Linked DNA regions of Neodiprion lecontei. The protein of the gene in region 2 interacts with the protein of the main gene of each other region in a pairwise test. Links are inferred from orthologs where the notes say so. Each region holds a gene or a part of one and is shown on either strand. Other genes may lie near its edges.

Region 1 (7,287 bases), on a different chromosome or scaffold from region 2:
TGACTGGAAGACGGTAGACAGGCCGGCATTAATCGATTACTCAGAGGAAGAGGAAGAGGAAGAGCTGTTTCGAACTGATACGAGGAGGGAACCGTGCGTTTTGTTTTCATTCTCGATTGCCATGAAAAATCTGGCCAGAATTATAATGGTGCGGTAACATCTGTCAACGGTGCGCGATACAACCTATTCCACGTGTATATATGAATACGGCTTATTAATGTCAGCTCGGAACGCTCATCAGCTGTTACAGTTAGGTATAGGTCATCCCACCTTCTAATAAGCATACAGAGTATTTTTCACCCCACTCCCCACACCCGAATCTAACTTCGAATCGCGAGAAGCAGCGAACCGAATATCACAGAGGTCAATTTTAATTTGTAATTTTTGAATAACAGGCCCGATTTAACGTAATTTTCGTCTTTGTCAATTTATCAGGCGAGTGGTTCATCAATGCCATCACCAGGCAACAAAATTCAGTCCCAGCGGAAATGATCGCAGGTACCCCTCTATTTGCAACAAAGTTAAGTTCCTTCACTTTTATCAACTGTAAGATTTTTACATATGGTACTAATTTTAGATACAGTCTCTTCTTAATCCGCAACTTGCGCGAAAAAAAAAATTTCCTCGTCCCGTAAATAGAAAAACATTACAAAGGGAATGTGGATTAATTAACATACGAATTAAAATACGTGAGCGAATAGGTGTTTGAAACAAAAAAAGGGATAAGAAAAAAGAATTTCATACCAATTGTCTCTTTCGATTCATATTTTTGATTTGTCGTTTTTTTTTTCCACCTGACATCAGGAATCTCGCAACTTACTTTCCGTCATGTATAACATCACGGTGTGGGGCGCGCGCGGGTGAATAATTTATCACTTTCAAAGAACCGTTGTTACTTTCTCGTTAGTAGGTATAAGGTGACGTCAGTCACGAATACCCAAAAGGCATACCTGAACAGCTAATTTGTACACATTTTTCCAAGTGATCTCACTGTCAGAGTCGTTAGGCGCGTAGCGTCACACGCGCATTATATACCAAAATATGCAATGACTGTTAGGATGTATCGTTCGTCACTCAGCCTCGGCGATTTCTACGCCTTCATACGTACGTCATACGTTCCTTATCCTCTCATCCACCGCTTATACTCTTATCTTCAATATGATGTTAGTCGCTGAGTTTTTTCTTTCGCGTTTACGATGCCGATTGGATTCGGTTCCATCTTTTTATCCTATTTCGTACAACTCATGGAAACCACTTCAATTAATGCATGCAGGATACATACATTGCAAAGATTACCATCGGTTTTATAGAAGCATTCGCGTTCAATGCGGATGGAGTAGTAAAAGAACTTCAAAAATATAATGCAATCTTTTCAATCATCTGATTAACAGACAATTATGTAGAAATAATCATGAACGTGCCTCGCAGAACGTATCGAACAAACACATACTCAGTTTAATGGACGCGGATTTCGCAGATAAAAAAGTGTGCGCTAAATTATTTTCTCTTATCATCAAACAGATACGGCGAAAGTATGTAATCTTAATTCCTCAATGTTGTTACTATTCGCTGAAAGAGGAAAACCGCCCAGGTCCCTATCCTTCCGCGATTTTTCAACATTGATAGCTTTTTGTCCTCTCCATGTAATTTGGCAAAGACAAAAGCAAGTACGTTAATATACCTCACATATAAAATAATTATAATTATGCGCATGCTGTTCAATTTTTTTAATATTATTTCTTACTTTTTGCGCATGACACCAAAATGTGACATACCTGTACACGTAATCGCCTTAGTTTTAAATTTATCCCAGTCTCAGCTTTGTACAATAGTTCGTTTTCTGATATACGGTTCAAGGACAGTTAGTCAAACGATCTCATTGTTCGCGCAGTCTGAGATTGCACCTGTACAGTCGGTAATATATACATACATATAGGTACGTATACCGCGCAAGAGTGATAAATGATCGATAAGAAAAATTGTTTCACTGCAGAGAATAATGATAATTTCCTACTTGTTGATCGTAACGGTCACCGGCAGATCTAGAATGCCGGTAGTTAAAAAAATTACGAGTGTCTACACGAAATGTTTGTTGCTTTAATGGCTTGGAAACCGATGCGCCCATTTTCCACATAATTTTTCCCGAACTACACGTTCAAGGTTGGATAATAAATTGAGTGTCTGTAACTCAAAAGGGGAATATTCCAGTAACATACAATTTTGATTTCGAGTAAAGTCTTCGCGATACGGAAAATACTTGGAAAGTGATAATACGAGGACCGGGGTAACTGGGTAAGCTGCCTGGAAAATGAGTCACCCGAGCGACGAGTGGTGTGCAGTCGTGACCGTGTTGTATGAATCACACAGTCAGTCGCCCTAATCTCTTGTCTGGCATCCCGCTCACTAGCTCCGGGAGCCTAGCCAACCGACTACAGTGCCGTCGAGCCAACCGGCCGGCCGGTGCTCAAGGCGCCCCCCGACTGTCGCCATGCGGGAAATCGGGAGTCGACGTTATCCTGCGACCTGGGTGGATGCATATTTGAAAAAGAAAGAGAAACAAAAGGTAAAAAGACATGAAAGGGAATGACTTTGGCTGCCGCAAGGGTGGCAGGTTTTTTCGTTGAAATAAAACGTGGAATAAAAAGAGAGAAAAATACCAACCTAACGTTTATTTCGAATCTTGTCTTCTCGATCACGTATGCTATTCACATGGCCATGCAGCATCATCGTGGTGGAAAATAATCCACGTGCCGTGCACAGGCACTCGCTTTACCACGGTGATTTGATTATTTAACATGTTTGGAAGTAATTATAACAGTAGTGAATCGAAGAACGATCGATCTAAGGAATTTGCTGGTATACAAAGAACTATGCGTTACAGAACACGTACACCAGGTATGGATTACCAGAAATTGGGAAGTTTTTAATGAATAAATATTCCTGTTGATTAATAACGTTTGAAAATGAAACGAAAAAATGGAATGATAATTAACGTCGATCGATTGCTGAAACGGCTTTAGGTATAAACGATAATTCGCGCTTTCGCCCGTGCACAAATCCCACGTAGCCGGCGGTCGCCATTTTGACATTCGGTTACGGGAAAGTGCAGCAGCAGTCGGCTGACTCTGAGGACGATTCGGCCGAGGAACACGACTTGGGCTTTCACTTAAAAGCGTTCGGTTAACGGTCGATTAGGAAACTGAGATGTAGAGGATAGGCACGGATAACTATCTGGCGAAATCGTAACCTCAGGCAACATCGTTACTAACGAAAATATAAATTGGTAGAACCGAGTCCACACCCTTTGTTCCGATGTATCGAGGATAACTTGAAAATACCTCAGTAAATCGTGGATCGTTTCATTTCTCTTTCGCACACGGTTAAAGGCGCGACGGATCGATTGTGACTACTTCATCAAGAATGTAGGAATAATTTGAATAAAACTGTCTGCCTTCGGGATAGCCGGGATGGGATTGAATGAAAATCAATTGGAAACGTCGAGAAGGAACGGGATTTTTTATTCCTGATCATTTTAGTTCTGTTGTACGGACTAACCCCAAAGGATATAAGACGCAGATGTACCAGCGGCGGCAGTAAATATTAGCGTGTGTTATTAGAGTATAGTAAAAAGTCGTGTACACGCACGCAGGCTATGATCATGCAGCGGTTGTGGAGAGAAAGAGAAGGAAAGAGGGAGATAGAAAAGAGAAAAAAAAACGAGAGAGAGCGAGAGAGAGACAACGAGCGGTAACGATGTGATGGATTAATTTTGTACTCACTTCAAAACCTTCCGATTTCGCCCATAGATTTCCATCGTGTCCAGCTATAGCTGCTTTCGTAACACATCTCGAAGCGAGCAATTGCTTGTCAACGTAATCCTGCCAGCTCATTTTTGAACACAACGGGGGGAAAGAAAACTATTCGCTACGTCACTAGAGAGACACAACCCGTCACTGACTCAAACTCAACTTCGACTACTCTGTCGTTGGCTGGTGCGGTACAGACCTTGCAGTCGGACTACGGCCTCCCCTAGCTTTGTCGCGATACGCGGCTTTCTGACTCACACTTTACTCGGATGCGCGCACACACGCACGTTCACGCCCTTGTCCCCCAACGGCGTACTTTTTACATCTGTATTCATACGCGGCCGCAGCACAATGCCGCCGGCTCGTTTCACCCTCGATTTTTGCCCGTACAATTCGGGATTTGCTGACACGGGGGTTGGATTATCGTATCGATGTATAAAAATCGCTTCTCTTCGTGACCAATTCACACCTGTAAGGACGGTTTTCATATCCTAACGTTCGATACCGGGGACTAGATTTTTTGCGCGGACTTACTTCCCTCCAGGCATGACACGTCGCGTCTACACGCCAGGTGGCGCATCAGTTTCGTTAAGCCTCGTTTATGTTACGGAATAGCCGTATGAAATCGACTTTCTCAGAAGGGAAGTTATTTGTACGTACCATTCTTTAAAAACCGAGCGCTCCTGTAGACTAACTGATCCGTCGGACACGTCGCTCTCTTCAACGATGGTCGATCATTTTAGAAAATTTCCAAAAATAGAACGACCCCGATCAGTCAATTGAGTTTTTTTACTATCCGTAACTTACGCTTAGATCATCACCATGACCGATGGTCCCGTGAAAGATCGCCGAGTGTAGTCGCAGTTGAATTCAATCCTCCAATTGATAGAATTCAATTTGTACACCTTTTAGAATTCGGTATCGATTTTATTTAAATTCCATTCAATTACAACCCATATGATTCAAACAAAAATCAGAAGTTACGCATGCTAGTTTTACTCCGTGTGTTTTGCAATCTATCTCCTGATAAATTAATGAAACAATTCATCTTGGACGAACCTGCAGATAGTAAGCAAATGATTTCTGAACTTGACTGTAACAACATGATTCACTAATTTAGTACAATATAGTAGAACGCGACCTGCAAATTGACAAACAAGTGTTGGCGGTTTTAGGCAGTCTGTAGCTTACATCAGATCGAAATGACTGCCAGTTTTACTTATTTCTAAATCTTTTTTCCTAAAGGAAAATACTATGAAAGAAATATTACGCAAGAATGAAAAAAGGAAAAATGAATTGAATATAGTATGTAGGAATATGCACAAAACTTTATTGACAAAATATAAAATAATTACGATCTGCAGAATTTTTTTACACATTGTCAGGAGATAAGGTAAAACTTGATCTAACCAAGCAAAGAACAAAAAATTAAATTTGTACAAATATAAGAGAAACTGTATATAACATAATTGATAATAGAAAAATAAAATGACGCGATATAAGTTCATTTGAAATGTACAGAAATTAGTGTGTGATATCTGTATGGAGGGCGGAAGTTTAGGAGGTATCAAATACAATAAAGTTTAATATAAATAGTATATTGATTTGGAAATTTGGTCTTTATTTCCAAAAATATCTCTCCGCTGGTGGACTGTCCAAAACCGCCTGGAAATACAGTTAATAATATTTGTGAAATTTGTTTTCTTCTTGCGTTTTATAGTAATATGTAACAAATCGTAGAGTAATATAATAAAAATTCCCAGCAGTTTCAGTTTGTCCATTCAGGGTTTCATCATGGTATTATTGGAACAGCCACGACATAAAATAAGAAATGAGAAAATTGCCGTAAACGTAATAAAGATTCAGATTAAAGTATTTATTGTACTTTATTTGAAATATCGTATTGCTAATATAGATAGAATTATACAAAAAATTCATATACGATTCTAAGCATTCTCAAAAAAAAAGTTCTCCTTCTGCAGCGTTTGTGATTAAAATAGCCTTTCCAATACCCAACTAAACCTCTGCCCAGACAAACAAGTCGGAGTCGCGGTAGCAGGTTCATTGAAATGACGTAGTGATAGGAAGATATCATTTTACAGTAATATAAACTGCCGTCCCAATTGCAGCGAGTGAATCGCTTGACAGAAGAGACGAAGAGCGGAAAAATTAGAAGGAATCGATTTATGGGGGTAGCATTGGAAAAAAATCGGTTTTCGGAGGTAGGGAACATTTCGTCAAATATCTCACTCCAACAAATACAGTGAAAACACTTTGTGACAAGAGCAGGACCAACGACAATAGCGAACAAAATATTTTTGGCCTATGTAAAATTGAATGCTCTAAAATTTTACTTCAGCGTTGATAACTGCGAGAACGATTAATTTAGCGATTACTGTGAACACCTAATATTCAATATCCTTAAAGTTTACAAGTGTAGAATTAGGTAACCTTTCACGATACTATTCGAAATAAATTTATAACAATGATAAAAATTAAGTGAAGAACAATTCACTGTTAAGCAGATCACGCGCGCAGGTTGAAAGTTTCTTTTTTTTTTTTTTTTTTAACGCATATAATAGAATCAGAATGTAAGAGAAAATAAAAACAAAAGAAAAAAAAAATCAAACAACAATTATTTTATATATTATTATTCACTCACCAATAATAGGTTAAAGAACACAAGTTATTGGCAGAGCTATTCTAGATATAGAAGAACGATTCTACAATTATTACAGATAACAAACGTTGAATATTATTTATTGGACTTTATCTCAGACCCTAAAGTAAAAATCGCGAGATGCCGGGATGTCGGATGCGCGCGCGCGTACAGAATCCCTCTTCTCCTTTTAATTCACTTTCTTTCTTTCTTTTTTTAAATCAATATTATTATTATTATTACTTGCAATTGATTATTTTTTCAATGCCGGCAAACCGTACAATGTATAAATATCAATATTATGTATATGTAAAGTCGCTCGAAATCCCGTAATGAACAGGTAGACAAGCACTCGCTTCTGAATACTCACACCATCAGAGAGATCAAGGTTGAGAGCTCTTATTTTGCCACTTTTTATTTGTATTATAATGAATTATTATTGATTATAGCCAATAATTAGTCGGATTTTGTTCTTTTTAGATCAAATCTGCAACGTTCATTGGCATCTCGTCGATATGGGTGTTATAGAATTGCTCGATATCCTTTAGAGTACGCTTGTCATCCTCTGTGACAAAGTTTATAGCTACTCCCTTACGGCCAAATCGTCCACCGCGTCCAATTCTATGAGAAAAGAAAATTATTTCAATTGCAGTAGATGACACAGGAAACTTTTGGTTGTTACACTGAACGGTCACTTTGTTAGTGACTGATGCTTATGACAGCATTTGGCTAAAATTCTCAATTACACTCAAACCACCACAATAATTTTCTAGTGTATATTCAAACTCTGGAATCAATATATTCAATGTAAAACATAAGTCT
Region 2 (7,365 bases):
TTTGTTATTCAAAAGATTTTATAACTACATTATGCATAGCGGAAAGACATATAACTACAATTAATTCATAATCTCTAAAACTGATCAAGCGATCACATCGCATTGATGATTTGTCATTGTATTATTCAGGGCACCAACGCTGAAGAACATGCGCGCTGTATCGTTATTGGTGAGAACCTCTTCACTTGGATCTTCGATCTATTCCCAATCGCTCTAACTGAACGAGGATCATCAATTTTGTGAAATCACTTGACGAATAACAATAGTTGTAGCAGTTGATAATTTTTTATATCAACTTGAGGAATACTCAGATCACTCCGAAATTTCGTTTTTTCTCTACCTAAAGGCCATTTGATTTTCCAAAACGTATGTCCGCCCACCCGAGTGGGTACTCAAAATTCTAGAATTTTTCCGATCGATAAGATGCGAGTGATAATTCACCAGTACGGAAAAAAAAAGTGACAAGATTCGTAAATCCAAATAAACAGATAAAGAAACAAAGAAAAGCGAAGTGTGAGTTGAAAGGTCAGCGGTATTTGAGTAACGTGACAATGTTATTTGAGAAATATTATTTCCAGCACCGGCTTTACATGTTATACCGCATATCTATAACATGGATGTAAGCAGAGACAATGATATCCGGCAGTCGTAAGTCACCTCATGACGTTCTCGCGATCAGCCGGTGATCCCCGACTCGCAACTCCACCCCCGACCTGAATGACGGTTGTGATGCCGCTCGCTATCGGAGCGGCGGTTGCCGATGGGGGGGCAGGGCTTCCACCGAGGTGCCCCAGGGACAAGGAAACTCTCGACACGCTCCCTACGCTCCCTATGCTTCCTACCATCCCCAGGCCCCCCTGAACGGGACCAGATCCGCTTTGGGCCTGGCTTTGGCTTTGACTCTGACTCTGACTGGAAGCACCCAACACATCATTGACCAGTGACGATAAGTAGGTACCTGCTATTTGCATGGGATCATTGAGGCATTCAAACGGTTGGTAACTCATTCTCAGTAGTTTCTACATCGATGAAGTTATTTCTACAGTCATTTCGGTTATCTGGATTGTACTTTGTCAGTTGTTATCTTGACTGAGCATACAAGATACAGTTGATCGTGAGTTGTCTCCTTATCCTGCATTGATTCGGTTATCCATCTATTTATAGACACTTGTCATCGCTGCTATTAAGTCACTTCTTCGCAGTAGATATATTATCTTTATCTATCCAACTGTTTCGTTAAATTAATTCGTTAATTCAATACGCAGTAACTTAATTGTCGCGATTTATACTCAGTTATCCTCTTGTTCGCAGGCGACACGGAGTGATTTATTCAATTACCAGGTGTCATTTAGTCAGTTGGAATAATGAGTAACTCGATCAAAGTTTCCAGGCGGCCTGATTGCACGGAGCATATGTCCTGCAGAGTTCAGGGACTTTGGAATTGCACCTGCGGTCTAAACAATGCCGTAAATTTTTCCTTATTCAATTTATTTCGGAGAATCCCGTCAAAGCAATGTACAATATAACCGAAGTATCATTCGAGTAAAATTATGCATCGCATTTTTCAAAATAGCACGTAATTAGCAGCTAATTAGCACCCAAAGAGCCTCCTTACCTCATGTTCGGTATTTCTAATAATATGGTTCTACTAATATTATACCAGTCATAAATTATATAGTGACAAGAATGAAAGAGACGGAGCAGGTATGTACACTGTGAGTTTAAGAATAGTCAGGGTCTATTAGTCCTCTTCAGAAATCTGAGTCGATGGATCCTTGCAGGAACATTTACATATAATCGTTGGCAAAGTGCCGCTATTCGGGTTCTCGAATCGTCCTGAAACGCCGTAATCGTCGTCTTATCCTGTTTACCATATTATTGCAGATAACATACTCCCGTCACGTATTGGACAGAAATGAAAACATCGGGGACAAAGAGAGCACTCGAGAAATGGAACCCAGAACGTGAATCGAGGTGAAAGGTAAAACCGCAAAAAAAAAAATCAAGTAAAATTGGATAAGAAAAACGAATCTAGGGACTGACCTGTATCCCATGTCCTCTTCGTACTGCTGGGTGATACCAAGAGGCTGTTGCTGTTGTTGTTGCTGTTGTTGTTGTTGTTGGGACTGTTGCTGTTGCTGGTAATTCGCCGGTGCTGTGGAAGCGACTGCCGGACCCAAACTCCTCGAGATATTGCTGCCGTTGCTGAGGACCTGGGATGAAAATTCAGACGGATTAGTACGGGTTAAAGTTCGATCTTTCAATGGCTACTGATGTATCATAATACGCCGCGAGCTCAATTTACTTCATTATAAAGTTAAAGGTTTCTAAATTGATAGACACTGCCAATTGTCACGGTTATTGGATAATCGTCGTTGATCTGTAACGAAAGGTAAGGAGGAAAAAAAAACTGCATAACCTCACGCAGTGAGTCAGATTCGGGAAATGGAGCGACTGATATATTCGAGTCAGGGTTTTGGTAAATGGTCTTAATAACCGAGTTGAATCTCGTTTGTGAATTATTGGAGTGAAAAAGCGAAGGCTGACGCGTTGACGTAATTTTTTGCATCGGATATAATATTCGTGTGGCCGGGAGAAGTTATCCAATTACACGGCATGTGGCTCGATGCACTCTGCACGTTGCCTTCTCTCTCTCTCTCTCCCTCTCTTTCTTTCTCTTTATCTTCTTTTCTTTCTCCCACGCAAGCGTCCGGTTGATTTCGTGTGCGACCAGCCTGACAATGAAGTAATTCAATACATATCCGTATCTCTCCAGGTACAGCTGTGTAAAGTATATCGAAGATAGTATACGTATAAAGGTAAGAAAGCCGCCCCATTTTTGACGTCCGCATATCATCTCCGCAGGGTAAACAAGTGTAATATATAATACAAGAAGTGAAAAGATACGGGGACCTTTCTCCAAGGTGCATAGTTCCAAGACGGGAATGGTTGATAAAAGAAAGAATTTCGACTCGGCGAAGAGACAGAAAGAGGGAAATAAAAAGTATACACAACACTTACGTCGAGGGCCTGCAGCATGGCCTTGGCGAAAGCGTCGGCGTCATCTTTACTCGAGAAGTTCAGCCCGTAAACTTGTTTGTTGTCCCGCCATTGGTGAAACGTAACCGTAGCCTGATTGTACTTCAGTCCTTTGAGGATAGCGCAGTTTATCACTATCTCATGGTCCTGGAGCTTCCGACCGACCACTCTGAAGGTGTTGTTCACCTGGTGATGGTACAGCTGCACCTTCGATAAGCCGGACGAACTTCCGCTCGGCACCCATTTCTTGTTCACGTCGTCGTACACCATCACCGACGCCCGTGCTGATGATATGCTTACCTCACTGCGAAATGGATAATGACATTGTTTCGTTAAGTACGGTACACACCAAGTACCAGAACGAAGTCGGTATGTCGATAAACGATAAATGGAACAATAATGGATTCATCGACATTGTGACACGGATTCGGTAATATGACGTAGGAACATCGCGTGTTTCGGAAGTGAGATTCGATGCAAAGATCCACCATACTCGCCAAGTGGTAAGAGATCATTGTTATTCGTCATTAGAGACGCTGCCACGTGTGCGTTGGCTTAGGGGCGAGCCGAAAACAGAAATGGAACAGACGGTAACAAACGGCTTGGAAGCGAATGGAATTAGTTAGCATTCAATACCATGCCCAGTAGGTATTCCAGTCGGACCAACGTTTGTGATTAGCGGTTGTCATGTCGGCGATGGTCTTGCCGATGAAGGGTACGTGTCGTCCTTGGGTTGTACTTTACCCTTGTTCCGGGGTACCGTTAGGAGTTGGCCCGAGCCAAGGACAGAGGAAGTCACCCTGTCACCTTGTTTATTTTTACAACACTGTCCGAAGGAGGAAGCCGGCTAAGACGATTACTTCATCGCCGCAAGCTCCCCGCCAGCTTTGCAGGTAAACGATGCCATTTTCGTGACACCTCACTGCGCGAGTCTTTCAAGGATTCGCTTTACGGTGTTGCCTCTGCTGTGCCTCCGGGGTATCGGTTGACTTTTGCGAAACGGGGAAAACGCGGGGATTCAATTACGTCTGCAGCATGTTGCCCTCGTTGTTTCGTGGTGAGCACCCTTTTTCACACCGCTACCCGGAAAGTTTTATCATCGACGATAATGAGCAGTGTTCGAGCATTCTCAAACTTCTTTTCAGCGATACATCACTGAAAAACGAACAACTTTTTCCGGTAAATAATTGCCTCGTCCTTGCGGTGTAAAATTACACGTTAACCCTAATTCGTCACACCGCGGCAGAATCGAATAACGGTTTTCCAGTTCCAAAAAAGCGATATCCTGCTTCGACGATTTGTTCTAAAAATCGCAACAAAAAATATCTAGGTATTGTTTAAGGATCGGAGAAGAGGCTCGATTCAGTTTTCCTAACCACAATTCATTGTTTAAATATCGTAAGACATCGGCAAAGTTGAGGTAAAGTGGAAAAAAAAATTTTAAGGAATTTTTTTTTCGATTAGATACAGAATTGATTTCCAGCAAAACGAACGACTGTCAAAGTCTATTCCTGAAATCTACGAGGAGTTTGATAAATTTTTGGGATGAAATTCGCTCAGAATGATTCATTGCGGTTAAACGAGTACCTGATAGTATTGGTTTGATTTCGATTTTTTTTTTCATCTAATTTCATTCGCTAACGATGTGATCTTCTTTCAGAAATAACTTTACAAATAAAGTTGAAATATCTTTGGCGACGGTATATTTTCGACGTTCTCTTGTCTCTTAAAAAGTTAGTAGTCCTGGCAATTGAAATCGGACCGACATCGCAACTCGGACGAATAATTTCGATAAAAAATGTTCTTTATTCCACACGACTGAACACGTATATATACATTTTATCCCCATACGTCAAAGTCAACTCATACTCGTCCCCTGAATCCCTTAACCTTTTTTCTCCTCGGGTTGCGGATTCGATTCTCCTTGGAACAAGGGTGATAAAAAATGGTTTCTACGAAGAAACTTTTTTGCCCTTGAGTATTGTGAAATGAAGTATATAAATCGCAGTAGAAGAGTTACGCCGTTGTTGAACAAACTAAAATTTATTGAAGAATATCGTTACATAACATCTGATAATATATCAGCCGATATGTCGAGTATCGTAAATACATCGCCACCATGACGGTTACGTAGGATACTAGGAATGAAATTCAATCGAGCGAACTGCATATCTTTTACCACCGTTCCGCTTCTCCTTGACAGTCTAATATTTTTCAGCTTTCGATAAAAATCATAAGAAACCGTATCTCGGGTTAATACCGAAGTCGTTAAAAAAAAAACTTTCTGCACTACACAAATGAAACACTGTCACGAATCCCAAGGAGAAAGAAGTTCACCGATCACGTTATGTCTTTCCAACTTCCGACAGATATTCGCGAACCCGGTTCTGGTCCTTCAAGACGTTATGATCTGCGGTGATCCCGTAACGTCCAACGCTTCGGACAACTTGATTGTTCAGACTGAAGTCTCCGGATGAAATGTTTCACTGCAGGATGTTGCCGACCACTTCCGGCTGCAGTACACATTCCTCCTGATAACAACAATCGTGCGCGCATTTCCTATCCTACGTGACACATATTCCAGGGTATTTTTAACCATTCTCGCTTCATAGCTGGCAGATTCGCGAAAACATCCGAAAAGGAGTATTAAAAAAATCCCATCATCATTGCTGTAGGAATGGTGCAGAAAAACAATGCGTTGTTCCTGTTACCGCTTGAAACTGTTGCTGCAAATACGAATGGATGATCTTTAATCTACACCACACCACTAGATTCCCAAACTCGTAACATTGACTTGGTACAATTGCCACATTTGATAGCATCCGACATTATCGACCGAGTGAAACGAAAGTCAGACACGTGTGCCTGCAGCGAAGAAACATGAATAGTCGCCGATGACCTTCTCAATTACACGGACGATTAACGCGATTACTGATTAACGGAGGTTGATCGCGATGCCGACAATCGTAATCGGTGCTTTGGAAATCGATCGGCGGGAAGGGTTTTCTCTCCACACTTCCGGTCATCCGGAGAAACCATCGTCCGGAGGTTCCGCGTACCGCAGCTTAACAGAATGCAAAACAAGAGCGTGATTCTCAGGTTTATACTTGCAGATCACGAGACGACGACGGATCGCTATCACGTTTCAACTTCTCGCATCCTTCTTCCGCGTTACGCGAATACCCGGATCTAGATGGTGTGCATGGTGCAAGGCACGGTTCCTTGCTTCTTTATACCTATAACCGTGAAACTCTACACTGAGAATAATTTCATTTGTTACAGTAACTAGAGAAATTCAGTAAAACCGGTATCGTTAAAAAAAAACTGTTTGAATATCGTTGGAATTACGAAAAACGAGGTACGCCTAAACATTTTGCGCTATCGTCGATCCTTTTTTGGTTATTGCAACGCAAAATCAGTTTCCGAGGTTTACTCTACTTTTTTAAGTTGAACAAGGCTTTAACGTCAATTTATCGTTGCACGAGCGTTAAATTTTCGCAACAGTTGCAAGAAAATCTAGCAACAGCGATCGTAATGAGAAAGAATAGCAACGGATACTAGAAAACTAATTTTCATTTTCTACCTGGAACTATATTTTTCGATTGTGGTAAAAAATGAAAATAGTCAAGGACTGAGCGGTAACCGGAATAAGAAAATTTCTCTTAGCGTACACCTTCTCTCCTTGCCATTGGGTTGCAACTCTAACGCCCGGCCACTCGACTTAGGACTCGAGATTAGGACTCTGGATTGAACAAGCTCACGACGAGTGCATGAAATTCCTTGGAATTCTCTCTAACCCCACGGTGACGGTTAACATTTTCTAGATATCGTTAGAAAGTAAACAACTTCTGCTGCTGTTGCTGCTGCTGACGATAACGTGGCTGATAATTATTATTATTTTTTATCAGACACATTCGTATAACCTGACTCTTTTGTCCCCCACCCCATTCCAGACTTTAAAAAATTTAATTCTATTCCACAAAACTGAATTCCCCGAATATTCCCTCAACGCTTAAGCTCTAAATGAGCAAACTACTACCCGTATTCGGGACGTTCAAAAAGTGAGAGAAAAGCTTCACTAAAAAGACTGCGCACAACGGAACAAGAGAAATAGAAGGGAAAAAAAAAAAAAACGAGAAAAAGAGAAAAGTGAAAACCAACTTCCCTGTTTCTGGTTCATTCATCCAGGTGGACGAGGACTTTTGTCATCCCGACGCAACGGAGAGAGCGAGAAAGAGCAAATAAGCGTGCATTACACTTACGAGATACGTGGAGCGGTAAAAGTCCGCGGTGATATTTGTTGATCGATGAAAGCGTTCCTTTCAT

Evidence for each region.
Region 1: the proteins of protein enabled (region 2) and profilin interact in binary tests that used the Drosophila melanogaster proteins (3 or more experiments, as listed by UniProt). The link is inferred for Neodiprion lecontei from reciprocal best matches to the Drosophila melanogaster genes ena and chic.

The regions. Positions count from the first base shown.
Region 1 is NC_060261.1:30,013,313-30,020,599, forward strand, and holds the start of profilin, read right to left. Parts: upstream 4,074-7,287; 5' UTR 3,891-4,073; coding exon 3,780-3,890; intron 1-3,779. Other genes in the region: eukaryotic initiation factor 4A-I, read right to left, coding at 6,942-7,086. UniProt on the Drosophila melanogaster protein: Binds to actin and affects the structure of the cytoskeleton. At high concentrations, profilin prevents the polymerization of actin, whereas it enhances it at low concentrations. By binding to PIP2, it may inhibit the formation of IP3 and DG.
Region 2 is NC_060264.1:29,524,130-29,531,494, reverse strand, and holds the start of protein enabled, read right to left. Parts: upstream 4,194-7,365; 5' UTR 3,729-4,193; coding exon 3,676-3,728; intron 3,344-3,675; coding exon 3,022-3,343; intron 2,214-3,021; coding exon 2,044-2,213; intron 913-2,043; coding exon 658-912; intron 1-657. UniProt on the Drosophila melanogaster protein: Functions, together with Abl, trio and fra, in a complex signaling network that regulates axon guidance at the CNS midline. Required in part for robo-mediated repulsive axon guidance. May be involved in lamellipodial dynamics.